Oryza sativa Japonica Group: one gene and its partners. The main gene of each other region encodes a partner of the protein of the gene in region 3 in a complex. Links are inferred from orthologs where the notes say so. Each region holds a gene or a part of one and is shown on either strand. Other genes may lie near its edges.

What was found.
Region 1: mediator of RNA polymerase II transcription subunit 18 (region 3) and mediator of RNA polymerase II transcription subunit 23 share a complex: the UniProt entries of both Arabidopsis thaliana proteins name them as parts of the mediator complex. The link is inferred for Oryza sativa Japonica Group from reciprocal best matches to the Arabidopsis thaliana genes AT2G22370 and AT1G23230.
Region 2: mediator of RNA polymerase II transcription subunit 18 (region 3) and mediator of RNA polymerase II transcription subunit 17 share a complex: the UniProt entries of both Arabidopsis thaliana proteins name them as parts of the mediator complex. The link is inferred for Oryza sativa Japonica Group from reciprocal best matches to the Arabidopsis thaliana genes AT2G22370 and AT5G20170.
Region 4: mediator of RNA polymerase II transcription subunit 18 (region 3) and mediator of RNA polymerase II transcription subunit 4 share a complex: the UniProt entries of both Arabidopsis thaliana proteins name them as parts of the mediator complex. The link is inferred for Oryza sativa Japonica Group from reciprocal best matches to the Arabidopsis thaliana genes AT2G22370 and AT5G02850.
Region 5: mediator of RNA polymerase II transcription subunit 18 (region 3) and mediator of RNA polymerase II transcription subunit 32 share a complex: the UniProt entries of both Arabidopsis thaliana proteins name them as parts of the mediator complex. The link is inferred for Oryza sativa Japonica Group from reciprocal best matches to the Arabidopsis thaliana genes AT2G22370 and MED32.
Region 6: mediator of RNA polymerase II transcription subunit 18 (region 3) and mediator of RNA polymerase II transcription subunit 33A share a complex: the UniProt entries of both Arabidopsis thaliana proteins name them as parts of the mediator complex. The link is inferred for Oryza sativa Japonica Group from reciprocal best matches to the Arabidopsis thaliana genes AT2G22370 and RFR1.
Region 7: mediator of RNA polymerase II transcription subunit 18 (region 3) and mediator of RNA polymerase II transcription subunit 30 share a complex: the UniProt entries of both Arabidopsis thaliana proteins name them as parts of the mediator complex. The link is inferred for Oryza sativa Japonica Group from reciprocal best matches to the Arabidopsis thaliana genes AT2G22370 and AT5G63480.

Annotation. Positions count from the first base shown.
Region 1 is NC_089036.1:31,045,629-31,049,797, forward strand, and holds the start of mediator of RNA polymerase II transcription subunit 23, read right to left. Parts: upstream 2,801-4,169; 5' UTR 2,723-2,800; coding exon 2,573-2,722; intron 2,487-2,572; coding exon 2,443-2,486; intron 2,051-2,442; coding exon 1,951-2,050; intron 1,868-1,950; coding exon 893-1,867; intron 373-892; coding exon 135-372; intron 1-134. Other genes in the region: GDSL esterase/lipase At5g37690, read right to left, coding at 3,872-4,119. UniProt on the Arabidopsis thaliana protein: Component of the Mediator complex, a coactivator involved in the regulated transcription of nearly all RNA polymerase II-dependent genes.
Region 2 is NC_089046.1:28,095,974-28,100,025, forward strand, and holds the start of mediator of RNA polymerase II transcription subunit 17, read left to right. Parts: upstream 1-1,252; 5' UTR 1,253-1,458; coding exon 1,459-1,547; intron 1,548-1,634; coding exon 1,635-1,833; intron 1,834-1,929; coding exon 1,930-2,043; intron 2,044-2,206; coding exon 2,207-2,292; intron 2,293-2,378; coding exon 2,379-2,757; intron 2,758-2,955; coding exon 2,956-3,417; intron 3,418-3,493; coding exon 3,494-3,814; intron 3,815-4,052. UniProt on the Arabidopsis thaliana protein: Component of the Mediator complex, a coactivator involved in the regulated transcription of nearly all RNA polymerase II-dependent genes.
Region 3 is NC_089036.1:5,237,976-5,242,160, reverse strand, and holds mediator of RNA polymerase II transcription subunit 18, read right to left. Parts: upstream 2,801-4,185; 5' UTR 2,608-2,800; intron 2,527-2,607; 5' UTR 2,497-2,526; coding exon 2,461-2,496; intron 1,297-2,460; coding exon 1,197-1,296; intron 1,126-1,196; coding exon 1,068-1,125; intron 990-1,067; coding exon 633-989; intron 541-632; coding exon 429-540; 3' UTR 241-428; downstream 1-240. Other genes in the region: brefeldin A-inhibited guanine nucleotide-exchange protein 1, read left to right, coding at 3,081-4,066. UniProt on the Arabidopsis thaliana protein: Component of the Mediator complex, a coactivator involved in the regulated transcription of nearly all RNA polymerase II-dependent genes.
Region 4 is NC_089043.1:25,716,283-25,719,719, forward strand, and holds mediator of RNA polymerase II transcription subunit 4, read right to left. Parts: upstream 2,142-3,437; 5' UTR 2,067-2,141; coding exon 822-2,066; 3' UTR 501-821; downstream 1-500. Other genes in the region: histone-binding protein MSI1 homolog, read left to right, coding at 2,319-2,942. UniProt on the Arabidopsis thaliana protein: Component of the Mediator complex, a coactivator involved in the regulated transcription of nearly all RNA polymerase II-dependent genes.
Region 5 is NC_089044.1:22,150,916-22,153,489, reverse strand, and holds mediator of RNA polymerase II transcription subunit 32, read right to left. Parts: upstream 1,227-2,574; 5' UTR 1,137-1,226; coding exon 654-1,136; 3' UTR 501-653; downstream 1-500. Other genes in the region: U-box domain-containing protein 70-like, read left to right, coding at 2,216-2,378. UniProt on the Arabidopsis thaliana protein: Component of the Mediator complex, a coactivator involved in the regulated transcription of nearly all RNA polymerase II-dependent genes.
Region 6 is NC_089041.1:6,111,124-6,115,348, forward strand, and holds the start of mediator of RNA polymerase II transcription subunit 33A, read left to right. Parts: upstream 1-1,425; 5' UTR 1,426-1,548; coding exon 1,549-1,823; intron 1,824-2,478; coding exon 2,479-2,589; intron 2,590-3,125; coding exon 3,126-3,470; intron 3,471-4,220; coding exon 4,221-4,225. UniProt on the Arabidopsis thaliana protein: Component of the Mediator complex, a coactivator involved in the regulated transcription of nearly all RNA polymerase II-dependent genes.
Region 7 is NC_089038.1:19,469,314-19,473,602, forward strand, and holds the start of mediator of RNA polymerase II transcription subunit 30, read right to left. Parts: upstream 2,801-4,289; 5' UTR 2,731-2,800; coding exon 2,314-2,730; intron 1,885-2,313; coding exon 1,807-1,884; intron 131-1,806; coding exon 32-130; 3' UTR 1-31. UniProt on the Arabidopsis thaliana protein: Component of the Mediator complex, a coactivator involved in the regulated transcription of nearly all RNA polymerase II-dependent genes.

The DNA of each region.
Region 1 (4,169 bases), about 26 Mb from region 3:
CACGTTCTAAAAGAAAAAATAGTGAAAAGGGTGCATCAATAGAACATTTGAAATTTATATTCCCATCAGCTGTCCACTTGAAAAAGGAACTTTATTATATTGACAAGGTAAATGGTTAACTTTCAAATTCTAACCTGAGTTCGTGAGCCTCAGTAGTTCAATTGTCCTGTCAGCAACTGCCTCACCGATCATATCAGGTGAGAAAACAGCTCCTGGCGTTGATGATTGTTGAGGATGTTGTCTATAACAAGGAGCAACAAGAAGAACACGCCTCCACCAGTCTGGTGACGGAGTTGTGCGGAGTGCATGCCTCAAGCAACGCAAAGCACGTTCCCAGTCTAAACCCCCTTTAGGAATGGAGTTTGCAAGATCCTAAACAACAAAGTTATATCAGATTTCAGATCCTACCCAAACCAACATTAGTAACTAATAGCTCAATTATCTATTCATTTCCTGCCAATTTTCCTGATCCATCCTTGAAAAACATGCGGTGTGTTGAAATTTAATTGCAAAATATATTTTGCCTCTGCATGTTATGATGCTTTGCGATTTTTCCGTTTATTTCTCCCTCCTGTGAAATTATTCATGATCACTCAAACAAAATGTGTTAGCATGTCATCCCCTGTTAATGTTAGAGGATACTACAACAATCCTAAAGAGTTTGCAAGGATATTCCAGCCATTTTGCGACACTAATTTCAATCTCGTAGGCTCGTAGCCCCAATGTGGTCAAAGAATACTGCAATATCTCTATGCAGTCAAAATATGTGCAGAGCATATCGGATGAACATAAAAATTGAGCTTCAGTCCACAAGTACAAAGTCAATGCATACAGGTTCAATGGCAAACTTAAAAGGGGAGAGGTGGGTAAAGAGGGGGAAAAGTAATATCACCTCTCCGTGTAGCGGCTCTCCCAATACACTTGGATAAGTAATGGGAGAATAACGCAAATTAGCAACAGATTCACCAGCTATGCTTGGGTATGATTGCGACAAGAACCGATGAGTTGCAAATGTTGGGCAATGAAGGTGTTGATCCAACATCTGCATGTGCATACATACCATGTCCCTCCTCCTATGGATCTCCATAATAATACTAACTAGTGCTTCATCGTCAGGAATATTTTCGAGAAACTGCAAGTTGCTGCGAACAAGCTCGTAGAATGGAACACGACATTTATCTTCATTAACTAGAATCCATATCACATCTAAGCATAGGTGCATCCATTCATGCAAAGGTCTTTCAAGCCTCAAGGTTTGCAATTGCAATGCATCAGCTTGGTCCACACCATGCGGTCGCTGGTCCCAATTAACAAGCCAATTTACCATATGCTGGAATATCACAGCATGGGTGGCTGGCTTCAAATCAGACTCCAGCCCTGCTAGAATAATTCTACAGGATAAGTGATGCAGATAACTAATTTCTGCTCCCCTGCGAGACTGGTCACCTCTAGCTGTCAGACCAAGCTGTCCAGGGCTAGAGAATTCTGCTCCCTTAATGGGTGAGACATTTGCACCTATGGGTTGGTCGATACCAGATTGAGTGGGAGATCCTATAGTGTTCATTGCTGACAATGGAGATGTGGGATTTGAAGGGTGAAAGCTTGGGGCATTTGGCACTGCAATAGCTGATGAAGAAGATGTTGCCGGGCCACCAGTAGTCACAGAAACCCCTTGCCCCATTGGTACCTCCACGGAGGAAACTACATTAAGTAGAGAAGGAAGGAGACTGTCCCATCGAAGGTGGCCTCGAGCACACAGGCAACGTGTGGCAAAGAGCAAGAACTCAGATTGTGGGGCGTGGCTACTACACTGCAGGACAAATGAGATGAGAACTGATTCCGTAACTGCCTGCAGCTGCTCTTGGTCCTGAAGAAACATGCAAATCAAATAATAAATTTGTTCTGTTCTCATGACATAAACAAAAGTACTTGCGTAATGATTCTGCTTACTGGGAACTGCATGTGCAACTGCTCAAAATCCGAAATGAATTGCTCATCTCGGGGAGGCAGATCTCTGTTCATAGCAGTTACTCTCTTCTGCAACTTGTTCCTGAGGAAATTCAATGCCCATTATGCATTACAGTTTTAGAAAAGCTTGCTGAATTGACTTCCATCGTCAAACTACCATATCAAATTTTGTCCAAAAACTACCATATATCAAAATGAACAAGGCACGAAAAACCGCTAGAGTACAGCACACTAGTTCCAAAATTGCGGCAATAATCTCCGGATATTCCAGAATTCCTTTCAAAAAAAAAATCTCCGGACATTGCAGAAGCCATCGCCTTCAAAGGTAAAGTTGAACAAAGCGCGAACGACAAGGACAAAATAATCCGACCTAACCTATCATAATGTTTCATGTGCTCGAGCCCTCGAGCAATCCAGCTAGCCCTAAAAAGTAATCCCCAATTAGAAGTCCAACAAGTGGGAAATCAAACTTACGAGGTCTCCCTAGTTGGATCCTCGACCCGCTGCTTCGAGTTCATCTGCAAATCACAGAAACCCAGGGTCTGAGCTAGCGTTCACAAGTGCACCACGGTTAGAGATTGGGGAGGAGAGACAAGGCACGCACGCCGAGGTATAGGGTGAAGAGATCGGCGATGGACGACCGCGCCGGGTGGTGGTGGTGGTGGTGGAGCTGCATCTGCCGCTGCTGCGGGAGCACCGCCGAAGCAGAGATCGCCGGAGACATCGGCTGCCTCTGCCCGTGCGCCCCGTCCATCGCCGATGCGCCGCTTCCGTCGCCGGCGACTGGAGTGGTGCGGTGGGCTTGCTCCGACCGAGGGTTTAGGAGTGTGGCGGACCTGACCTGATGAGCTCTTGCAGTTTGGGGGAAAGGGAACAGATCAACGGACGGTGGGATGTGTAGTCTCAGCTGCATGGAGACGGATCCAGACCGCTGGTATGCATTCTACCTTTCTCTTGGGTCGAAAAATTGAAATTGAAACAGAACAAAAACATGTTCTCTGGTATATTTGTGGTTCAAATTAGTGGCCATATAATCGAAAGCTACCAAATACCATCCGGTTATATACTCCTTTCATTTCTTTTTTCTTTAACGTAGGTGGAATAGGTAGTATCATGCTTGGTCTCATTATTTTACGTACAGCTAATTATAAGTCGTGATGATTTTATATTAAAACTTTAATATATTTGTCCTTACTAGAAAAAATACACGTACATTGCAACAAGTAAATGTTATTTTAATTTTATTATTGTTACACAATTTAGCTAAGGTAAAATTCAATGTGGGAATTCACTTTGATATTTATTGTTTAAAAAAAATCATGAGCTGCAATTAGGAGTCTGTATTTCATCTCAAGTTAGCATGCGAGTTTTTTCAAAAGATTTTTTATACGATTCCTTCTATACTTCCAAAAGGAAACAAGGTTAAAATCCAACTCAAATACGGATATGTATTTCCAAAAACGAACGAACTTAAAAACCGACTCAAATACGGATGACGTACCAAAATACCGGCAAAAACATCTTTAATTTTTATAATAATAGAGATAGAGAAGAGATTGAATAAAAACCAATGCTGAAAATAAATCACGATAAAAAAAACTACTATGAAATTAAATTTAAAATTTTAATTTTTGGCTTTGAGTGATAAAACGAAAAGCATCGATGCTAGGACTCTTACAAATATTGGAGTATATTGAACTCAAGGATGATCCTACATATCACACATCTGATATGTCCCATTGGGATGGTCCCAAAAACATAATTTGAACGAATTTTGTGAATTCGACCAGCTACTAGTACCCAGCACCGGCGCTTCCAAGAACAATCCGCGCGAACGAGCACGTACGGCGCTACAAAAGTACACATCACAATTGACACACTACAGTACGTCGTGATCGGTGAACTAAGGCGCCCGAGACGGCGACGGCGCCGGCGACGCGGCGAGAGGGGTGGTGGCGGCGCCCCCGCTCCCGGCGCTCGGCATGGCGTCCCAGAGGAGGTCGGCGATGACCCGGTTGGCGGCGTCGGAGGTGTGGTACGCGTCCCAGAAGACGAACGCCTTGCGGTCGCTGCAGGGCCGCGAGTTCGGCAGGCACAGGCCCCCCACCGTCGTGTCCACGTTGCAGCACGACGTGTGCGCCGTCGTGAACCCTGCACACACACACACGCACACACGCATCGCCAACGGTGAGACACGCCCG
Region 2 (4,052 bases), on a different chromosome or scaffold from region 3:
GACATCACATGGCACTGGGCCACTGGTAGTAGTAGAATTTACCATGCAAAAAACTGGCATAGGCATGATGATTGCATATGTTGATCTGGGAGGAGTGGATGTGATACAATGACAGTGATATCCAATAAAATGTAAGCTGTGTATCGCTAATGATTTTTCTAAAGAGATGCTGGTATTGATTAGTAGCAATACAATAACACAGCAGCTCAGTAGTTGTGAACAACAGGCCTGTGAAGTGTGAAATTGATGCTTATTTTAGTCTTTCTGAGTATGTCATAAATCAATGAAGCAAGGGAATGGAGAAGAAATGGAGTATATATGGTTATAGCGCTGCATCTGTTGATACTATTATCAAGGCAAATCTATATGCTACCTTTGAAAAAGAGAAAACAAACAAATCGCCAAATTTGTTGTATTTGGCGCATTTCTCTCAAACTTATGGTGTTACGGTGTTACCTGCAAGAATTATGATACGAATTGTTTGCGGTGCTTTTCTTTTTCATGAATAGGGGTCGGAGTTTTATTCTCCGAACCCCCTTGGTCGTCCAGGTTTTGCCAACTCGATCCGGTGGACAGTGGTTTGTCCTCATTGTTTCTTCAGGTTGTGATTGATTGCTGTGAGTTTTGAGCGGATGGTGGCATTGATTGTAAGCTAGTATGACAATCTCATCTGCAACTTGTTTCTGTGATTGGCAATGCTCTGGCACATCGATCCGCGCAAGTAGAAATTCAGTCACTCACTGTATAGTTGGTTTGCAGAGAGATTATCTGAATTTACTTGCTTGCTCAACTTCAAAAGGCCTGGAATTCAGAAGCTGGACTGAAGAATCGACATACTACTACTTATTTTGTGAAATATCCGTCGTCCCTGATACGTTGCAGATTGATCACAACTTGCGGTTGAGTTTGGAATATCATTGCCACCGGCACCAAAGAGAGTTTTGTTCCCTGAAACTTGTGATCCATGGACGAACAACAGAAGAACAGGCCTTGTTGTCTTGTAGGCATTGATAAGAAAAAGCTCTCTGATATAAGCCTTCGTTTTACCATTGCTAGGAGATAATTCCTGCTCCCGAGGGGCCTTGAGAAATGGAAAATAAAAAAAGAAACTCCGGCCCATTCGGAGTAGTGGAAGTCTGGAACTGGTCCAGGCCAGCCCAGCAACATTTACTTGTTAGGCCGGCCCAAAGTCAAAAAAGGCCCATCATACTCTCTTCCAGAGAAGAAACTCCAAAGTCCAGCACCCAAACTCGATCGAGAATTCGCTCCTCCTCACTCCGCCGCCCGACGACCTCGCCGGCGGCCGCCCCCACCCCGCCGGCCGCCGCTTCTGCTTCCCGCGGGGGGATCCCTTCCGCTCTTGAGCGGGACTCGTGAGCCCCAAGGCAGTGCCTCCTTCACTCAAAAAATTGTCTCCGATCTAATTAAGCCCTCCGCCGCCGCTGCCTCGCCTTCGCCATGGAGGAAGCCGTGCGGGTGGACCTCGACAAGCTCCCCATCAAGCGCCTCCACGCCATCGACGAGGCCGGCAACGAGCACTACCCGCCGTAAGCACCAAACCAAACCAACCTCTTCCCTTCCCCTGAAACCCTAACCCCCACCTCTCTCCGTTCACTGAGATTCGGATTCCGCAGCGACACCAGCAGCGAGGAGCAGCGCCTCTCCGCCATCCGCCGCATCGACTTCTCCTGGGTCATCGACAAGGACGCCAAGAAGCCCAAGAAGGACACCGCCCAGCAGCAGCAGCAGCAGGCATGGCCGTGGCAGGGCATGATGGAGAGCCTGCAGCAGGCGCAGCAGGAGCTCTCCGTCGTCATTGACCTCATCTCCACTGTCAGTTTTCCCACACACAATACTGCAAACCCCATTCTATTTGCATGCGATTGTTTGTATTCCTGACAGAGGAGACAATCCTACTTGATAATGCAGGTCGAAGCCAATGATGCAGTGGCAGTCGCTGGGATGCTCAAGCCCAAATCGCTGCCAACCGAAACCTTAGTTGACACCGCAGTCTCTGCAGCCACCAAGCTTCAGCGCGTTCGGGTATGTCACCCTACTGCCTATGTTTGATTACTTCAATTCACGGCTAAGGAACAAAATGGAACCTAAAACAAACTCAATTTGTTTCTGTAATCGCTTGCCACTTTCCTCTTCCGTCTTGCATCTATCATGCTTCCTGTTGTGATCTTCATTTGTGTCCTCGCAGCATTTGTCACGCTACTTCAAACAATCTGCCAAAACAATGGAGCAGCAGTTCCAAAAAGAGTCTAGGTTCTATGGCTCATTAATCAGGCATGTCTTGTTGCTTAACTTGAGTTGTTATTTCAATACCACTTCACCCAAGTTTGCACCATGAATTACTCGCGGATTGGTGGCAGATTGCAGCAGAACTGGAAAGTGAAGCGGCAACGGTTTGGTGGAAGTGGTCCAGGAAGTGAGGGCTTCATGTTTGATCTGATCGACACTTCTCAATTGGACACAGCAGCAATGCCTCGACTGTCATCATTACCATTGATTCCAATTGACCAAGACTCATCAGGCACTTTGTCCGTACAAGTCCCTCAAAAATCTTGCCGTTTCTTGAGTCTTAATTTTCGAGGGGACAGTGCCAATGGTGTGGAAAACTACGGTCATAAACTGAAAGATGGCATCTCAAGCATCACTTCCTCTGAAACAGACAATGATGATGTCAATAAATCCATCAAACATGCACATTCTATTCTTCGCAACATCCACAAGTCAATATTTGAGGAGCAGGTCAGCTAAGTGTTTGCTTGGCATGCTAAGAATTCCTGTATAGAATGCTCTTAATTAAGTTTTAACTATAGCATCATGGAAAATTATTGTATATCATGTGATGACATCTTGCACCACCACCACCCCTCCCTCCCCGGGTTTATCATTATTTATTTATGTATATCGTTCTGTGGCTTAGCTTAGTGTATGCCTTTGTAGGTATTTGATATGGTGATCCGTGAGACATTTGTCCAATCTCAAGGCATCAATGTGACTGGAATGCGTGAAGATTTTCTCCAATTAGCTATTGGTCAGGAATGTTCATTGTGCCTCTCGCTTGCTCATTCTGGAGATGGTAGTGACTCAGAAATGGTAGACCATGAAGACCATGCCAATTCAGAGGATGCCTCAAATCTTGTGTTGGTCACTATGAATGGGAAGCTGGACCCTTTAAGAAAAGACGTGACAGGGTTTCCTAATCCCAGAAGTCTGGAAATTTACTTGCTACAATTGTTTCATGAGAACATTCTTAGGAAGGTCAGGGAGAAATCCCTTAACATTGGTCGCTACCAAAGTCCTGCTCAGGTTGCAGGTGATGATTATGGCCTGCTAGGTCATTTCTGCTTGACAGTGGCTCACAGGATATTTTCTAACAAAGTACTCGTGGAGCTTGAGAGTGTGGTATAGCTCCTATAAGCTTGTTGATGCTACATATTTGCATGTAGATCATTATTTAAATTTCCTTTCTGTATTGCAGGTCAGCAGGGTTCCATATCTCCATTTGCGTTCTCTTCCTACTTGGCATTCTCGAACTTCCTCCTGGTCTCTATGCTTGAAAGTTCCTCAGCCTATCCTTGCTGCAGATCGGATTGCAAAGCCTTCTGATAACCATGAACTTAAGTACAAATCCAGGTCACAGTTCAATACTAAGGTGATCGTGAAAGATAGCCAAATTAGTCTAATGGGTGAAGGCTCCCCAAGCATTGCTGGATCATTGACTGGGAAGCCCTCCGATGGATATTTGGTAAATAGCTACAATTGTGACTTGGAGGACCTCCCAACAATGCTTCTGCAGCAGGTAAACTTCTGATGATACTATTTAAATTATTTCTTGGTAGATCATGTTTATGAAATTATTAAAGTTATTACCATTGGAATTCATTATGGTCCATTGATAATGCAATGAGCCAGACTATTTCTTGCATTGCAAATGTGTAACATAAACTCCTTGCATTTGAATGTGAAATGCACAATGGTAATGCATTTTTCTTAGTTTTTTTCCCTGAGGAAATCTTCATTTGTGCCTATTGACCTAC
Region 3 (4,185 bases):
AACTTGACTGCTAGACTTACATAATAACTAGAGAAAATAGTTTGATGCACACTAATTAACTAGAGAAAAACTACTGGGCAATTGAACGTCCCAAACCATGAGATCCTTACCACGTATGTGACCTAAATTAAAGTAAACAAAGCTACCATCAAATATATTGTCAGGATCATGACAAACTCCAGCTATCAGTCTACCACCAATATCGTCAAGCTTTCCCAGCATTCAGTTTCCACTCTTCAGTAAAAGCAAGCAATGATCAGTGTTCATTTACCAGTCTCCAAAGCAAGGTAGGCAGCATTTAGCATGTCATTACAAGAAAAACCATGGTGCTACTGACTAAAAGTTACAGAACTAAAGATGGCAACAATGTTTTAAGTGGGATGGTCAATGGAGATCATCATGGCATTGCAGCCAACACATATGACCGATCACAACGTTTTACCACCACCACCACCACCACTTGACATGAGTGAGGCGGCAGCAGCGCCTGCAGTCGGGACGATTCCAGTCGAATTGCCTGGTTTAGAGAGATGCAGAAGCCTGCAGTGTGTTTTGCAGTCAAAAGTGAGAAAATTCGTTTATGCCAGTCTAGTAATAATCTTGAGATAGCTAAGGAACACTTAGTTACTTACGGTGCTAGATATTCACAGAACGAAGTGACGGCTGAAACGACATCGTTGTAATTGTCAGCAGCAGCAGGGGCCGTGATTTCCACTAGCTGTATTGCAGGAGTGATTGGCACAGCTTCGTTGGTAGCATGGAGTTTTGTCATCTTGCTAACAGAGGTAACGGTCACAGTTATCTGGGCACCTCGGTGGAAACGAAATGCAAATCCTCCCTTCAGAACTTCATGATCTAACTTGTACCCTATACCGTAGAAGTAACGCAATACATTGTTGCTGGCTTTGCTCTCTACAATTGACCGCACAAGGACTGAGATTTGCTCTGCACCAGCACCTCTCATGGCACCTCCAACATGTCTTATGGTCCTACATGAATACTACTGGATTCAGAATATCATCAAATATCACAAAAATGTAAATTTTAGCAGCTGAAAGAAAAGTTACCAGGATGGCGTGGACTGAGCTAAGTCACACAATAAACGAACCTCTGATGGGACAACTCCTGTATGATTGGAAGATGTATATGAGTAACAATGGCATATGATCAGAATAATGAAAAAGTTGCAAACTGACCTAGATTTGGCCCACTTTTAAGACAGAGCTCATGCACTCTGACACGTTCTTTTGGGACACCAGAGAGGCCCTGGAGAAGAACCTCAAGAGCATCAACATGCTGCATAACAAGAAGATCAACCAAAAGTTACACTGATGTCAAAGCAATGAAAACTAAAAAAGGTTAAATGGTGTTCTAAGCACAAGACATTGACATGTGTATATAAATTAATCCCTTTATTGTAAAATTACAAACCATATAAGTGATATGATTCCTCCAATTGTATATAAAATAGAACCATATCAACATATTGAAAAGAGAATCAAAAAAAGTCTGCAAGTGGCAGAAGTAGTGCCCTCAGAGTGGAGAAACATGGTTGACCATATAGTGGTCAGCATGATCAACTGTATACTTTTTTTTTATTATCCTGAAGGGAAGTGTTGATATGCTGACAAGAGGAAGCTATAAGAGACTAACAAAAGGTCATATAGAGACAATGGATCGACGACAAAGTCTTAATGCTGGCATGAATTATTATTCTCTATTCCCTGATGTGTTTCGTTCAAGAAAAAAGAAATTCTCTATGGACATAAAGTTCCAATACTACTTCATGCTATATGGAGTGAAAAAATAACTTTGTTCCTAAGTAGGACTATTGAGATGTAATTTGACATTGGGGCTATGCAGTTGATAGATTTGCTACCTGGGATAGCTTAAGTGTTACCTTTCAAAAGGTTTTATCACAATTACATTTACAGAGGTCTGTTTTCAGGCAATTGACACCTCCAACAACAAAAATGCTATCTTAAATCAAGTGATAGAAAGTTCATTTAGTAAACGTCGAAATTCTACATTCCAACTCCTTTGGATAAGGTTACTACAAAGCGAAAGGCCAAATAACCTTATGCCAAAAATTAAATAAAATTCAGAATTCTAGATACAACATACAAGTAAGGAGCGCAAATGTCAGATCAGCAAACTTGACTAGTACCGATTTCCCAGAAAGGCCTACCATCATACAAAAATCAAGAATCCATGAAGAACATCACATCTACCATCACTCCGGCTTATGTTACGGGCCATGTATGATTTTCCGGGTAAAAGTTCAAATTGGTCATGTTTTACAGCATAAACAGACAAATCAGTTTCATATGAACAAAAATGCATCGTTGCATAGCTACAGATCACTCATTCTCGGAAGAAACTACCGTTCACTTCAACAACCGCTCACACAGTCACCACTCATACAAGTCTACTGGCGAAGTGAGAAAGAAGAACAATAACCTGGGTCTCGATGATCCCCTGCACCACGCACTCCATCAACCCCACCGCTTCTCGCTACCACAATCCCTGCAAGAGAGACAAACCCTGAAACCACGCTGCGGAATTTCGTCGAACAGCTACCTCGCAGCAACAAAAATTCACCCCCACCTTTAACCTAACAGCAATAATCCGCGGCGCGGCGGGGGCTGAGGCGTCGGGAAGTGAGCCGATCCGAGGCGCAAGAGCTCCCCCCACCTCGCAAACCCCGCGTCCCCGAACACTCCCCTCTCCGCCACTGACCGCTCGCCGTCCTCCGCCGCCTCCTCCTCCTGCAGCGATGGAGACGAGAAGAAAGAATTCCGAGAAACCGAGGGGGGTAAAGTGATAAAATGCCTCACCCCCGCGCGAAGGGTCGCGGCGTTTTTGCATCTAGGCCCCTGGAAGAATCTGAAATTTCAGTCATACCCTTCCTCTGACTTCTCCTCTTCCTCTTCCTCCCCCACGCGCTCGTCTCGTCTTCCTCTCGAATTCCCATTTTCTTCCACCTCCTCCTCGTCTCGAGGTCTCAGATCCAATGGCCGCGACGGCGACGGCGACGACCACCGCGTAGAGCGCGTGAGAGTCTGCGTGGACGGCTAACTATGGCCTCGCCGGCGGGGGCAATCGGCGGCGCGTCGCCGTCGGGGCGGGTGCTGGGCCCTGCGCTGGACCGGATCATCAAGAACGCGGCGTGGCGGAAGCACTCGGGCCTCGTGGCGGCCGCCAAGGCGGCGCTCGACCTGCTCTCCTCGTCGGCGTACGCGTCGGCGTCGGCGCCGTCGCCGCCGTCGCTGCTGCTCGGGTTGCCGGCGGCCGCCGCGGACGCGTGCATCCACGCGCTCCTCCTCGCGCTCGAGTCGGCGTCCCCCAAGGTCGCCGACCCGGCGCTCGACTGCGTCGCCAAGTTGCTCTACCACCGCCTCCTCGTCGGTGATCTCGGCGGTGGCGGCGGCGACGACGACTCCCCGTCCTCCAAGCTGCTCGCCGCCGTGCTCTCCTGCGGCGCGCTCGCCGACGACGCCATGGAGCTCTCCACCCTCCGCGTCCTCGTGGCCGCCGCGCGGTGCCCCTCCGTCGCCATCCGCGGGGAAGGGCTCGGCCAGATGCTCAAGACCTGCTACAACATATACCTCAGTAGCAGCAGCGGCGCCAACCAGCTCTGCGCTAAGCTGGCGCTGGCGCAGGTGCTGGTGATCGTGTTCGCGCGCGTGGAGGTGGACTCCATGGATGTGCGCGTGCGCACGGTGTCGATCACCGACATGATGGACATGTCTGACCGCAACCTGAATGACTCCAGCATTGTCCATGCGGCGCAGAGCTTCATAAACGAGACGATGGAGGGAAGCGATGTCCCTGAGCCGGGGTCCCCGGTTGAGCCGGCCGAGACGGATGGGAAGGAGGATGTTGTCATGAGCAAGATCAGGGAGGATGGGTTGACACTGTTCAAGAACCTGTGCAAGCTGTCCATGAAGTTCTCGACGCCGGATAATCCCGAAGATCAGGTCCTGCTGCGCGGGAAGGTGTTGTCTCTTGAGTTGCTCAAGATGGTTATCGACAATGCTGGGGCATTCTGGAGAACGAATGAAAAGTATGATATGATACTCATTATTGTCTTACTTCTGTGCATTTTAACAGCTCAACTTGCTGTGTTGCCTATCTATATAAATATTGTTGTTGCAGTGATTTAGAAGAATGCAGATGGCTTAA
Region 4 (3,437 bases), on a different chromosome or scaffold from region 3:
TTGAATTGGGAAAAAAAAGTACATAAAGATGCGATATGCACCAATAAAATTATAAAAGGAGTTACTTCTGATGATGCTTTGGCAGTTCTAACCCATTTGAGTCAATTACTACTTTATCATCTGCAAGATAAGCTCGTGAATGAAAACTAAGACCTATAGTACTAGTATCATGTTTGTAGTAGGAAGATCCCCCATGCTGTGCAATAAGATAGGAAAAATGGTGTGTTCATTTAAGTGCAAACTTACAAGTTGAAACCACTCCCTTCTCATAACTTATATAGCTTGAGTTATAGAACATTCTTGAGTTTTCAGCTACCACTCTTTGGTACAATGGTATAAAGGTTTTCAAACTATATTGCAGCAATAAGAGGTACAGACATAAGGTAAAACAATGAGAAAAATTAAGCAGAGTGCATGAACATGGAAGTCATTACTTGATTGAAAAGCCCATAACCAGCTAGCAAGCCTAGCAAGCAATTATGACTGAAACCTGTAATCTGTGAAGAAGGGCATCAAACATTAAACACACCATGTTCAAGTTTAAATATCCATAAAAGAAGCCATGTTTCTGACGATACAACACCAGCACATCCTGAGGAAATTAGACCATCATGCTTGATTACATATATCGAAGCAAATTGACTAGTGAGATGGTTTAATTAATCAACACATACATGATACGCCACCCAATTCTATTCAATACCAGTATATTGCTGCATGATCTTGAATAATCATGTATGAGAGCTTGCATTATTTGTTCTTACTAGTACATGACCTACAACGGCATGGAAACATGAATCATAAAATAGCTTACCAAGGAACTAATCCTCATCATCTTCTTCAGAGCTCCCGACGTCGCTACTGTACTCATCACTGCTAGAACTATTGTTAATGTCAAGATCAACATGCCGAACCTGTATCGGTTCTTGTGCCTTCGGCACCATTGCTGGCACCACAACCGGCATCTGTTGCACACTGGCCCGTGGCTCCTCACCCTTGACACCAGCCAGAATGCCATCCGGCGGTAGAGTGATCGGGTCCCCGGGTTTCCATCCAGGCGGCGGCAACGGGATTTCGAGAGGCAGCGCCCCGTTCCGCCACCCATGCGGATGCGGCACAGTGATTGGTAGCACAGCTGCCTCCTGGGTTGGTGAAGGCTGAAAAAGCGGAGTGGCATCTCCCTCTGCTGCAGTCCTCTCCTTTGCTTCCTGGGATTTCGGCACTCCAACATCCAAATCCGCAAATTGATACAGCTGCGACATCCTCATCTCATTTTCCTGAGGAGCAGGCGGCAACGCCCCACGCAGAGGCAGCCCAGCACCATGCTCAGGCGGCGCGAAGGTCGTGTAGCTTATGCGGTGGGCGTACGTCAGGACGTCGTCCAGGTTGAGCTTGGAGTGCAGCGACGCGCCAAAGTCGCCGTCTGACACCGGCTCGGGGTCGTCCGCCGCCGCGGCGCCGCGCGGGCGCTTGGGGTCGCGGCGGTAGTCGGCGTAGTCGTCGACGAGGCGGTCGAGCACGTGGTGCGCCTCGCGGAGCTTCTTGGCGAAGGCGAGGATCGAGGCGTCCTTGGCGCGCGCCTCGCGGGCGAGGCGCGCGCGCGCGTCCTGCAGGTCGAGGGTCTCCTGCAGCTCGGCGACGGCCTCGAAGAGCTGGGTCTGGAGCGTGTTGAGCAGCGACAGCGCCTCCTTGGTGGAGGAGATCGGGGCCGGGAGCGGCGGCGGCGGCGCGGAGGACGGCGAGGGGAGGAAAGTGGGGAGTGACCCCCGGTACGCCGAGATCCACGCGGCGCGGCTCGGCGAGAGCTCGAAGAGGTTGGAGGCGAGCGCGGAGATCAGCTGGAGGAGCGCCTGCGCCCGCGGGAGCGGCGGCAGGAGCGGCAGCAGCGACGGCGATGTAGTTAGGGTTGGTGCAGCGGCAGCGGCAGCGCCCACGGCCGCCGCCGCGCTAGGGTTGCCCTGCGGCGGCGAGGAGGTGGGATTCCCCGCAGCCGGGTTGGGCGGGAGCGACGGCGACGAGGCCGTCAGCCCCAGCCGCGCCGGCGAGGGGTGGTGCGACTGCATCATCGCGGCGGCGGCGGCGGCGACTGCGGATGCAGGAGACGGACGCGAGGCAGAAGCTACTAGACAAAATTTCCTCTTAATGGGCTAATGGGCCTCCAAATTGTATTATATGGGCTTTACGGCCCATAAAAGCCCATTAACTCGGCCATAAAACACCATCTCTTCTGACTCCGCCGCATCGTCTCCCCAATCTTTTTGGCGGGAGAGCACCACAGCGCCGCCTCCACTTCCCGCGCAATTCGCAAGAGAAGAGCCATGGACGGCGGGTCCTCCACGGCGGCGAGGTCGTCGGCGGCGGAGATGGAGGAGCACCAGAACTGGAAGAAGAACGCGCCGGTGCTCTACGACCTCGTCATCTCCCAGCCGCTCGAGTGGCCGTCGCTCACCGTCCAGTGGCTCCCCTCCCACTCCCGGTCGCCGGGCTCCGCCCGCTCCCACCGCCTCGTCCTCGGCACCCACACCTCCGACGAGACGCCCAACCACCTCCTACTCGCCGACGCCGCCCTCCCGCTCCCGCCCCGCCTGGCGGCGGCGGCCGCGGCGGCGGGCGGTGCCGTCCCGGCCCCGTCCGTGTCCATCTCCCGCTCGGTGCCGCACAAGGGCGAGGTCAACCGCGCCCGCTGCATGCCGCAGAGGCCGTACACGGTGGCTACCAAGACCTGCGTGGATGAGGTGCACGTGTACCATCTTGGCGACGGCGGCGAGAAGGGCGGCGCCGATGTGGTGCTCAGGGGGCATGAAGCGGAGGGGTATGGGCTGGCGTGGAGTCCGATGAAGGAGGGGTTGCTGCTGAGCGGCTCGTATGATAAGAAGATTTGCCTTTGGGATCTCGCTGCTGGGAGTGGAGCTTCGTCTCTGGATGCACATCATGTGTTCGAGGTAATGCGCCGTCAAATGCCCCCCTCCCCTCATTCCATTTTGCAGTAAACATTTACAGTCGTTAAATGTTACATTATACGATGCAGTTGAGCAATGATTCGTAATTCATAATCCAATTCATTTAGTAAGGATGCTTCGATTGTTTCTTCCCCTTTTTTTTTTCAGTAAACAAATTTTGATCTGCCAGATCTCTTAGTAAACAATATTGAAATAATGAAATTGAACTGTTTCTGGTCTTTCCTAAATGTTGGAAGAGAATCATTATAACTGAAATAACTGCACAATTCCAGAGTAGATAATTGCACTGCGTAGGAGAAAGGACACAGCAATTGAATAACTAGTCGAGAAGAGAACATGGTTCCATTTCCATAGCTGCATTTTAAGCACAAACAATCATCTCTTGGTGTGAGGAACAATTCTATTATGCATAAACAGATCACTGAGTTTTTTTTATGTGAGCGTTCTAGAAGGCACCTGAGCTGATTAGCAAACATC
Region 5 (2,574 bases), on a different chromosome or scaffold from region 3:
ACTAGTAGCTAATAACCAATATCACTTTCCAGTATAACTGGGTTTCACAAACCATGAGCAATCTCCCAGAGTTTATTATCACAAATTGTGCCTTTTGTGGCTGCTTAGTTATTCTTCAATAAAATGTTGTTCATTAAAAAATCAGAAGGAAAAGCATTCACATTGTGGCGGACGCAAGATTAGCAAAACATCCAGAGTAGGTACTTGAAAGTTGAAGGAACTTATACAGTTATATGCTAGTTGAGTAGTATATATGAAATTGTTCATTTTTTCCTGGGACCTCAGGTTTACTACCTTACCTTAGTACGATGCACGAACATTATGTGAGCGAGCTACAAATCAGAACTAAAACCTACTGGAAGGAAGTCCGTTACACAATTAGTCACTTAACAAAAGCAATAGGACAAAATTAAATCAGTTACTAAGCGTGATCTGGCCACGACACTAAGAAAACGGTTAATTTCTCCCAAATTTTAACATCAGTAGGCATAAAGTAACAATGCTGAGAAAATCACAAGCTCAATTTTTTTTAGAATATCGATCACAAGCTCTAATGCTTCAATTCTTAGACGATTACACAGAGATACCACCAGTAATTTGTTTTCTTTGGAAGAAAATACTACTAGTACAAGATAATTGAGCAAAATAAATACCTACTGGGCGCCGTCCTCGGGGAAGCGCGTGTCGACCCCGCCGTGGCCGTGCTGCCCCGCAACGCCGGAAGCCGCAGCCGCGGCGCCGCCCCCGCCGCCGGGACCCGCGGCGGAGGCACCTCCGGCGCCGTGCTGGAGCTCGATGACGAGCCAGCGGACGGCCTTGCTCATCTGCTCGAGGCGGACGGCGCTGATGGGCTTGATGCCGGGGGCGGCCAGCGCCGCGGAGGAGGAGGAGGAGGCGCCGGTGGCCTCGTCGACGAGGCACTCGGAACCGATTCGCTGGCGGATCGACTCGACGAGCTCCTCCGCGTGGTCGCAGGCGACGCGGAAGAGCTCCCACCGCTGCTTGAACGCCTCGAGCGCCGCGTCCGTGGCCGCGTTCTTCTCTCCCCCCGACTGCCCCCGCGCCTCCACCACCGCCGCCGCCGCCGCCACGAACTCCTGGTACGCCTCGCTCAGCTCGTCCACCGTCGCCTCCATCTCCCCTCGCCGCCGGCGGCTTCTCCCCGACACGCTCCACCGCCTCCGCCGCCTAGATTCCCCACCAACTTGACCTCTACTCGTCACAGTGTCAAACTCCCAAACCAGTAGCGTCAAAAAAAAAAAAATTCCTCGTGGGCCGCAGATTCGCGGCCCACTTTAAAATGGGCCGTCTCGTGCTGTATCTTCTTACTGGGCCGCACGTTAAAACTTGGGCTGGGACGCGAGGCGAGGGTTTTTCTCGAGGGATAAATATGGGCCTCGCCGCTCGCCGGAGCGGCGGTGGCTTCCCCCTCGCCGACGGCGAGGCGGGCGACCCCGGTGGGATCCTGTGAGCCGGCGACGGCTTCCCCCAACTCCCGCCTCGCCGCGCGCCGATGTTGCCGTCTCCCTGCGCGATTCCGCCGCCGCCGCGATGTATTTATTCGGTGTTCGCCATTTCTAGTCAATCGTCAAAGGTGATTTGACTGTACCACGATGATTTAATTTCATATGCAGTACTGGTGATGATGAGATGTTTGCTTGTTGTCAATTTTGTTCGCCTCAAATTTCATATGCTATTATTGCTGAATCGTCACTACCCGTAGGTTGTTTCTCCCGTTCATATGGAGTAACTGAAATATGAGGCCGAGATCTTTAGATTAGATCACCAGATAGACTGATGGCTCTATCACTGGCACACAATCGATGCACTACATCTTTTTTTTATTAGAAATGAAAGGCAGGGAATTTGTGGTGAGCAATGGGGGTGAAGGATGTGAGAAAGGTAGAGTCTTACATTAATTCATAACATGTCCCTGTTCCCAGCAAATTTTGCCGTGTTGTACTGGCATGGCATGACAGCGTACCAAATGACTTTCCTCAGATAATCCATTCACTGCGACTTGGTAGTTGAGTGTTGCGTTGTCTTCCGATAGTCTCAGTCAAGAGTCAACCTTTTTACCTGGTTAAACTGGAATCTTATTCTTTAATGCTAATACGCAGTGTGTTCCCTCTTTTAGTTGTCCAAAGTGGGAAACGCAAACTGGTAGATAGAAGTATCTCTTAGTTCCATCTTCAAGGCCTTACCAGTTGCATGCATGAGTATGATGCTCAGGCAGAAAACTCTGTTTAGAGACAAGGTTTATGTTGCTCTCCCTGAGCAACCCACCGATGGCAAGTCCATACTGTCTTGGGTTATCGATCATGCATCCAGTAGCACGGAGATCATCATCATCCACATAATTACTACATCGAACTTTGGTTAGTTATGTGCAGTGGCTTTATCTAAAGTTATTTTTCTCGATGTCAATAAAGGAGGTGATATAGTCATATAGCTATCTTATGATGTTTGTACCATAATCTTTAGCTTCTGGCTTTCTGCCATATTCTGGTTTATTTCCTCTAACCATTACTTCTTGTTTCTATTGTGTTTTCGGTTGCATAATCCTTAGCAAAG
Region 6 (4,225 bases), on a different chromosome or scaffold from region 3:
ACTGTGACCGCATCTGACAAAGGTTCTCTTCAGAGGACTAGAGGAGTTTATATCAACTGCAGCTTGATCTAAATTCATAGTTAAATTTTAATAATATATAGTTGTAGAATATAGAAAATAAATAAGAAATTAAATAGAAGTACAGGAAAACTACATTTTACATGTTTTCATGAGGTACTGCTAGTAGCTACTCAACGGTTGCTTAGGCTTGATTCGTTTATCTGGGTTGGGAACCTTTCATCGAACACGCTAAATGGAGTGGTAGATTTACACATGATTAATTAAGTATTAGCTAAAAGTATACACATGGAAAATGATAGGGTATAAGTTGGAAAAGCTTGCTGTGTTCTTTGTTCAGAGTTCCCAACCCCTCTACCTCGTGTTCCGTGCGCACGCTTTTCAAACTTCTAAACGGTGTATTTTTTAAAAAAAGTTTCTATATAAAAGTTACTTAAAAAATAAATTAATCTATTTTTGAAAAAAAGCTAATACTTAATTAATCACGCGCTAATGGACTGCTCTGTTTTCTGTGCGTACTGTTCCGGTTGGGAATCAGAGATACCGAACACATCCTAAAAGAACACGACTTTGATATTCCTTAGGGGAATGCTAGGAATCGGTCGCTCAGGGGAGGGAGAAAAATCGGGCGCTCCCTCCTCCCACGACGCGCACTGCCCTGGGCCCCACCACGTCTCTACCCCCACCTGCCACTTATCTCTATCACATACTCCATTGCAACAAATCACCTATATATTTTGGAAACACTCTATTAAGGGAATACATTTCATTTTTTTCCACGAAGAATGTTTTACCTTTTATACCCACAATATTCCACTGTGTATAGATCTAATGTCGCAGTGAACTGAAACATTCTTTCACTATTTGCTGAAACATTATTTTTATATAAGGTGAAACAACGCCCGACTTAAACTATTGAAACATTTTCGATCTCTTAGTGAAAAAATTCCGATATACTTGGTAGAATATCGTGCAACATTTTAAAATAATTCAATAATAAGCTAAATTTTTTTTCATCGGAATATATCTATGTGTGTGATCTTGTTTTGAAGATTTAATTGCAACGAATTTAATGGTGAAATCATGATTTGGATAAATAATTTAAGAGAAAAATTAGTTTAAAGTAGTTTTGCACGCATGCGTCATACTGATGTCAGCGTCCGATTTTTCTCCAAACCCATCGGTCGCCCGACGCGTAGGCTCCTCTTATTCCTTGAATTAGAATAGGTATGGCTACACGCCTACACGCACACAAGATAGATGAGGTGGGTGAGGCGGAGCAGAGGATCCGGCGGGCTGGGACCACCTCGTGTTGGTGCCTGGTGGTGATGCAGTGGGCGAAGTGGTTACACCAACGCGCACCACCACCACCATCTCTCTCTCTCTCTCTCTCTCTTCCTCCTTCCCACCAAACAAACATCCCACGCTTCGTCCCTCCCACTCCACTCCCCACCCCCGCGACGCCTGCGGCGACGACGACGGCGACGGCGAGGAAGGCTGGCCACGGCACGCGGCGGCGAGTAGTCCAGCATGGCGGCGCCCTCGGCGGCGGCGGCGTGGGTGGACTGGGCCGCGGAGTACACCAAGGCGGCCCAGGCGGAGTCGCGCCCGCCCGCGGAGTGGGCCGCGCGGGTGGCCTCCGTCGTCGCCGCCGCCGGGGACGCGCCGTGGTCGCCCGGGCTCGCCGAGATGCTCGCCCGCGCGCTGCTGTATGGCGGTGGCGGCGCGGCGTGGAAGTACGCCGAGGCAGCGCTCGCCGCGGGCCTCGCGTCGCCGGCGCTGCTCCTCGCGATCCTCTCCACCAGGTACGGACGGCGCGGCGCCCCCGCTCCCATCCATTGCCCTCCCCCCACGCGCGCGCAGTGGCGTTTGTGCGCGCGCGCGGGGAGAGACGAATTTGCGTGCGTGGTATCTGACATGGGCTCCTGCTCACGTGGGGTGTACTGTCTGATGGAATCCGCGCAATCGCGATCGGATCAGGCTACTAGTTTCGATCTATGAGATTTCCCTCGCAACCAGATTACCACAAATGCAAGTTGTTCTACAGCGTGGCCTGTACATGATCATAAACAATCTGATGTTTTGGGCCCTGTAAATTTGAGAAGGAAAAGGGATGGTGGCGTGCTTACTGTGCGTAATACCCATAAATTTGAGAAGTATATGAATGGCAGTGTATGTAGAGTACTCGAGTGTGCAGTGTAATGCAGATCAATTTAATACATGTATAGCAGCAGAATACTCTGTTTCATTTTTTTCACTTTTTTTCTTCTCTCTAGAGTCTAGATCATGCTAGTTGGAATAACAAGTGCAGTTTGAAATGTGCTTTTCAGCAGTAATCGTATAACCAACTGGCGAAATCCGTGCACATTTTCAATATCTGCTATGCTGCTGTGGAATGTTCTATAAAATAGAATATAAGACTGATTGCAAATATTCCGTTGATGGTTTCTCTCCATTCAGGGTCATTCCTCACCGGTTCACAAGGCCAACTGCATATAGACTTTATCTGGAGCTCTTGCGGAGACATGGATTCAATTTTGCTTTTCAGATGAAAGCGGCGAATTTCAAAAAGTGAGGTTTCCTTCTATGAGGTGTTCCCAGTAGTTTCATAATGCACGCATTCTATGTTCAGAGGTTTCGAAATATACATCACAGGAACATGTACATCATTCTGAACGATTCAGTACTGTTCAAAAGAATTATATAAGACGGGAATTTTAATACGATATGCTGACAATTAGAGTTTTGGGTGTCTACCACAATACATCTAGACCACCTTATTGCATCTGCATACTGGACATATCAAGATCTGTTCCAAAGAGCAACAATTTGCAAAGGAAGAATTTCACCTGGTTGAAAGGGCCAGTTCTGCAGTGATACATAATATTTTCGGTTGAATTGGTTAAGGTGTCACTTTATATGTTTTCAACTCGCATATAGTTCTTTCATGTTAGTTTTTAAAGAGTTTGTTTCTTGTGACATGTCTGTTCTGTTAGCATCCTATGTTTATGCCTTGTGTAGGTATCTGTCATTCTGTCTGCAACTTATCATTCCTTTAGTTGTCTTCTAAATGCAAAGTTTCATGACACCTTCTCATATTTCCGCAGGATCATGCAATTAATAGATGATAACCTTGGTCTCTCAAAGATATTTGGCTTTTCAACATGCGAACCAGGGGTTTTTGTTGTTGAATTTACCCTTTGCATGTTATGGCAGTTGGTTGATGCTGCATTAGATGACGAAGGCCTGTTAGAGTTGATACCGGATAAGAAAGCTCATTGGCCAACTAGATCAGATGATGTGAGTGCATTTGATGGAACTTTCTCTGAACAAAGAATAGACAAAATTGACAAGTTACAGAAGATGAATAATGTGATAACTATAGAGCTCATTGGGCATCTTCTTCATGACAAAGTAATTACTCATATCCTCTCATTGGCACGCGAAAACATGTATGGCTTTTCAACTTCATGTACTGCTTTACTGAGTTATTCCAGCTCTTTCTTCCTATCACTAAAAACAGTGAATTTATCCCTTTGTTATTATATCAATTGATAGCAACTTAATTTTATTTTAGTGAGTTAATGTATGGCTTAAATATCTCTGTGTTCCATATGCACCATATAATTGAAAACATTCTCTCTATTGGCTTAAGGTTCTCAAGTCAAGCTTCTGTGTCTTCTGAGTATACAGGGTATTGCCAATATTTTTCTGGAATATATCAGATTCATTGTATTTATGGAATGGCTGTACACTTTTATAAAACAACTGTCGACCGCAATGCTAAAATGTGAACTAATAGTACTCTAGAAGGACTACTGGTTGTATGAACAAGCAAGCTTGATTGGTTGCAACTGTAATGTTCAAATGATTTTCTCTACTACTTTATAACCAAGAAGGATCACTGATAGAATCATAGAAACTCTGGCCATGGGGGACAAGCTCTGATATACTCATGCCAATATTGTCTGATATTGCTGTTTGTGTTCATAACTGTACTAGAATCGTACACAAATGAACTATTGGGATAACAGTACATTGGTAGAAGGCATTCGTTTAAACTTCCAAAGTGGGGATCAAGGGCATCCTTAAGACACCACAACTGAATTCACTTACTGTTTTTATTTTTTATTTTTTTGAAAAAGTATGCTACTTTAATTTGTTATTATTACCACCAGTACTAACGAGTCTTGATGATTCAGGCAAT
Region 7 (4,289 bases), on a different chromosome or scaffold from region 3:
GGATTCCTAAAGGATAAATGCCGATGAGTTTTCACACTGAGCAAGGACTCTGCCACATTGATATGTCCGATATTAAATCATGGAGTTGGTCGATAAGGAGCTTTACATGCTTGTTTTTGCTTTCAATTTCCTGCAGTAAACATCCTGTATTAGACTGGTTTACGGTACCAGAGAACAGTATGCCACATTACTAGGTTGAAACAAAAAATGTATTATATATGTCAAAAGCGTGAGGACTCAAAACTTCCACAGACCATGATACCACGGGCATATATAGAAATCTGAACTAGGACACATGGGATCAGCTAATTGAGATTGTACTGACCAGTGTATGTTTAAAATGAAATGCTTTGAACTTTTTAGGAACAAACTATGTAATCGAGGCATTAGAGAACACTGTTTGCTACATAGTTATTAGAACTAGACCAGACCAGTGGTCCGATCAGAAAAAAAGGGAACCAGGGCGTTGGCTGGTCCAGTCCAGCTAAAAGATCGTTGAGCAAACAGACCGGCAAAAACCCATTGAACCGGGCGGTTTTCTGCAGAACCAGACAAAAACCGAAGGTGGTTCGACTGCTGGAGGGTGTCACGTGGAGTTAGAGAAAATAGGAAAAAACCTGCTGAACTGAAGATCGAACCAAGACCTCCTTGCTTCCACGGAGAGTCTCAGCCGGCTATGTCACATGTTGTTCTAGTATTCTAACACACATCTATTTGAACCGCTTTAAACCGGCGGTTTGACTGGTCCGACCAATAAACCAGTGAACCGAGTACCCTAACAGTTCGATCACCGGTCCGGTCTTAATAACTATGGTTTGCTACACTTCAAACATAGGAGTACATGAAAATCACTGATCTCAATAAATCATACAAATGGAACTGAATAAGCCACAAATCCATTTTTCTATACACATTTATACACATCAAGGAGAATAATCTGTATTTATGCTATAATGATCTAGCATAGATAAGGAGTAGTTGAGACTTACAAGGCCATTACAGCCAACAGCCCTCCAAAGGATGAAAAGGATTTGCTAAATAGTCCAGAATCCAATTAGCATCAAAGGTGGATTTGCAAAAACTTACTCCCTCTGTCCCAAAATAACAAACCTAGTAACAGACCCCTATCCAGATTCCTAGTATTAGGGTGTGTCACATTCCATACTATGTTTATTTATTTTGGGACGGAGGGAGTAAGTTCTAAACTAGCAGGCAAATCCAAGTATGCAAACAATAATGACATGCAGTATCCAGTGCAGAAAAAACAATGATAAGATAACAACTTAACAAGCATGAATATTGCCAGGAAAGATCAAGATGGAACGCTTTTTTGACGAGTTCAACAGAATGAACATGACTATCCAAAACACTACAAGCAACACAGTATCACAGCTTGCCAAACTAGATCCTGGCTATCTAAAATGGTTTCAGGTAAAAATTGGGGATTACACTCTTCTCAGGACTTTTTGAATTAAAATGATTGAAGCATAAAAGGAACATATATATATATATATATATATATATATATATATATATATATATATATATATATATATATATATATATATATATATATATATATATATATATATATATATATATATATATATATATATATATATATATATATATATATATATATACACACACACACACACACACACATTATGTTCAAAACAGGTTGTTTGGGAAATATTTGGGATTGACATGGCTAAATAAGCACCAGTTACCAACTGGTTCAGGGAAAAATTCTGAATACAGCAAAATGATATTGATTATATTGCTAGAACATTCCCAAGATAGTACCTTTCTCAAAGCAGATGCATGTTCTTCCAATCTCTCAATCTCAGCTTGATCAGCTTTGTGTTCTGTCGATCCCATCTCCTACGAAGAAAACCACAACATCATTACAAAGAAGTAAACTGTTATGAGGTTTCTCCATAGCACCATATTTTGCACATCAGGATTACACTTACTGCTAAAAATAGAATCATATAAAACTACTATTTTTGTCTCATGAACATTGAACACTAAAAGCTCATGTTGATTGAAACATATATATAGTCCACATCCATGTAGTCCGAACCTACATCACAACATCCCTTACATTCCCTTACATTGGTATCAATAATAAGAAATTTTCTTTTGCAAAAATTATTTGGCTCCCTTACCTATGTATAAGCACCTAACTTGATATCAACAAAGAGTGCAATACGTTTCACAATTTCCACTAGACGATCACTAGAAACACGCATTTCGTGGTTGCATACATACTACGGGAGCATGCAATGTCGGGTAAATTCGTGTGCTGACCTGAGCACAGGACGACACGGCGGCGATGGACGTGCGGAGCGCCGCCATGGCGACCTTGTACCGGTGCCTGGCCTCGTCGAGCGACCCGCCGGAGCCCGGCGCGCCCCCGGGCCCTCCCCCGGCGGCGTCGGCGGCGTCGGAGTCCGCGGAGTGCAGCGGCGGCGGCGGCGGAGGGAGACCGCCGTGGTGGTGGTGGTGCTGGTGGTGGTGGTGGTGGTTGTTGCCGTGGTGCTGGAGTCCGCCGGCGCCGCCCGCCGCGGCGGCGGCGGCGGAGGAGGAGGACCAGAGCGTGGGGTTGCAGAGCTCGTCGTTCATGGAGGAGAGGATCTGGAACGCGGCGGCGATGGTCTCCTCCAGGTGGCGCTGCCCCTCCGCCGCCATCTCCTGCCGCCGCCGCGCCGCCGCCGAGGAGGCCATCGCCGGAACCCTAGCCGATCTGCTCCTCCTCTCGTCGGCGCTGGCTGTGAAGTGAACTAAGCTTAGCTTCAGAGCCCAACATAGTCCAAAAGCCCAAAGGATATGTTGATTTTGGGCCGAAGCTCGAAGCCCAGGCCTGGCCTTATCAGGGCCCTAGTATTTGAGCGGAATAAGTCCAATTTGTCTCCCTCGACTATAGGTCCAATCTGATTCGTTCTCCCTTAATCGCAAACCGTGTATATCGAACCCTCGGCTATTAACACCGGTGAATAAAAAAACTCTTTTTAGTTATTTTGAGGGTGGTTTTCGTTAACGTGGCTCATTGAACTGGTCTAACCGATTAAGTCAGCATGTGGGACCCACATGTCGTCCCCTTCTCTTTCTCCTCATGCTTTTGTTTTTTCTTTTCTTCCCTCTCCTTTCTCCACGCGGTGACGAGCTCAAGCATGAATAGTGTCAGTGACTTAGACGACAAAGCCACCACCGACACAACCAACTAAGCTTGGTTCTGTTGGCAACCTTGTGGAGCAAAGGAGGGAAGGGCCACAGCGGTGATGGAGAGTCGGAGAGGCCCAGTGCTGCCGTAGATGTCCTCTTCATTGTGGGCTCCAACGGTTGCCACACCGAGGCCCCTCACTGATCTGGACAAAGCCGGGTCCCATCAGTGTTTCTCCTTCACAGATCCGAGCCTCAAGCCACTTCCCCTTCTCTCTGTCGCCTCCTCTAATCCGACGTCCTTTTCCCACCTTCACCTCTATCAACGCCTCGGTTAATAAGGCCTAGCAATGGACAAGGATGGTGATTGACCTCGCTGTCATCGAGATCTAAGAGTCCTTCTCCTTTATATGTTGTGGAGCCATACATGGCAATAGTGAGGGAGAGAGAGAGGAGGGTCACGTGCATATCTCTGCATGGCCAAGGGATAGCCACCACCCGTCGGAGGACAAGGGGTAGATGTCGACGAGCTCTTGTAGTCATCATTGCCACCGAGGGGGAGGTCATCCTCGATGGCTCGCTGGAGCACGTCGTCCATGTCGTTGACCTTAATGACAGACTCAAGCTGTAGGCAATGGCGAGCACATGCCCCCTATCCTTGGTGGGCGTGGCAACCTTGTTCCGCTACCGTTCTTGGTGAGGGCAACGAGGCAAATCCAATGAGGCAAGCGAGCTCGATCTTGATGAAGCTTCTCCAGAGATAGGAAATGTCGACATGTGTGTCCTCGATTGCTGGAGTCCAACGTCTCCCGCCCGTCTCTAGCCACCTCTTAGACGACACTTCGTTTGCTCCACCGTACCGAAGAGCGGTGGTCGGTGTCCTCTCCTGATCCCAGGAAGGGGGTGGAATGGGAATTGGGAAGAGTCACCTTCGTCAGATGCTCAGTGGCATCCCTATCGTCTTCCCTTGTTCTACCGACCGCCTTCCCAACTAGAGCTCATCACCATGTAGGGAAAGGATAGGGAAGAAAGAAGATAAAAGTAAAAGAGGGAGGAGGGGACGCTGACATCTAGGCCCCACATGCTAATTCAGTCGGTTAGATCAGGTCAACAAGCCACGCCAG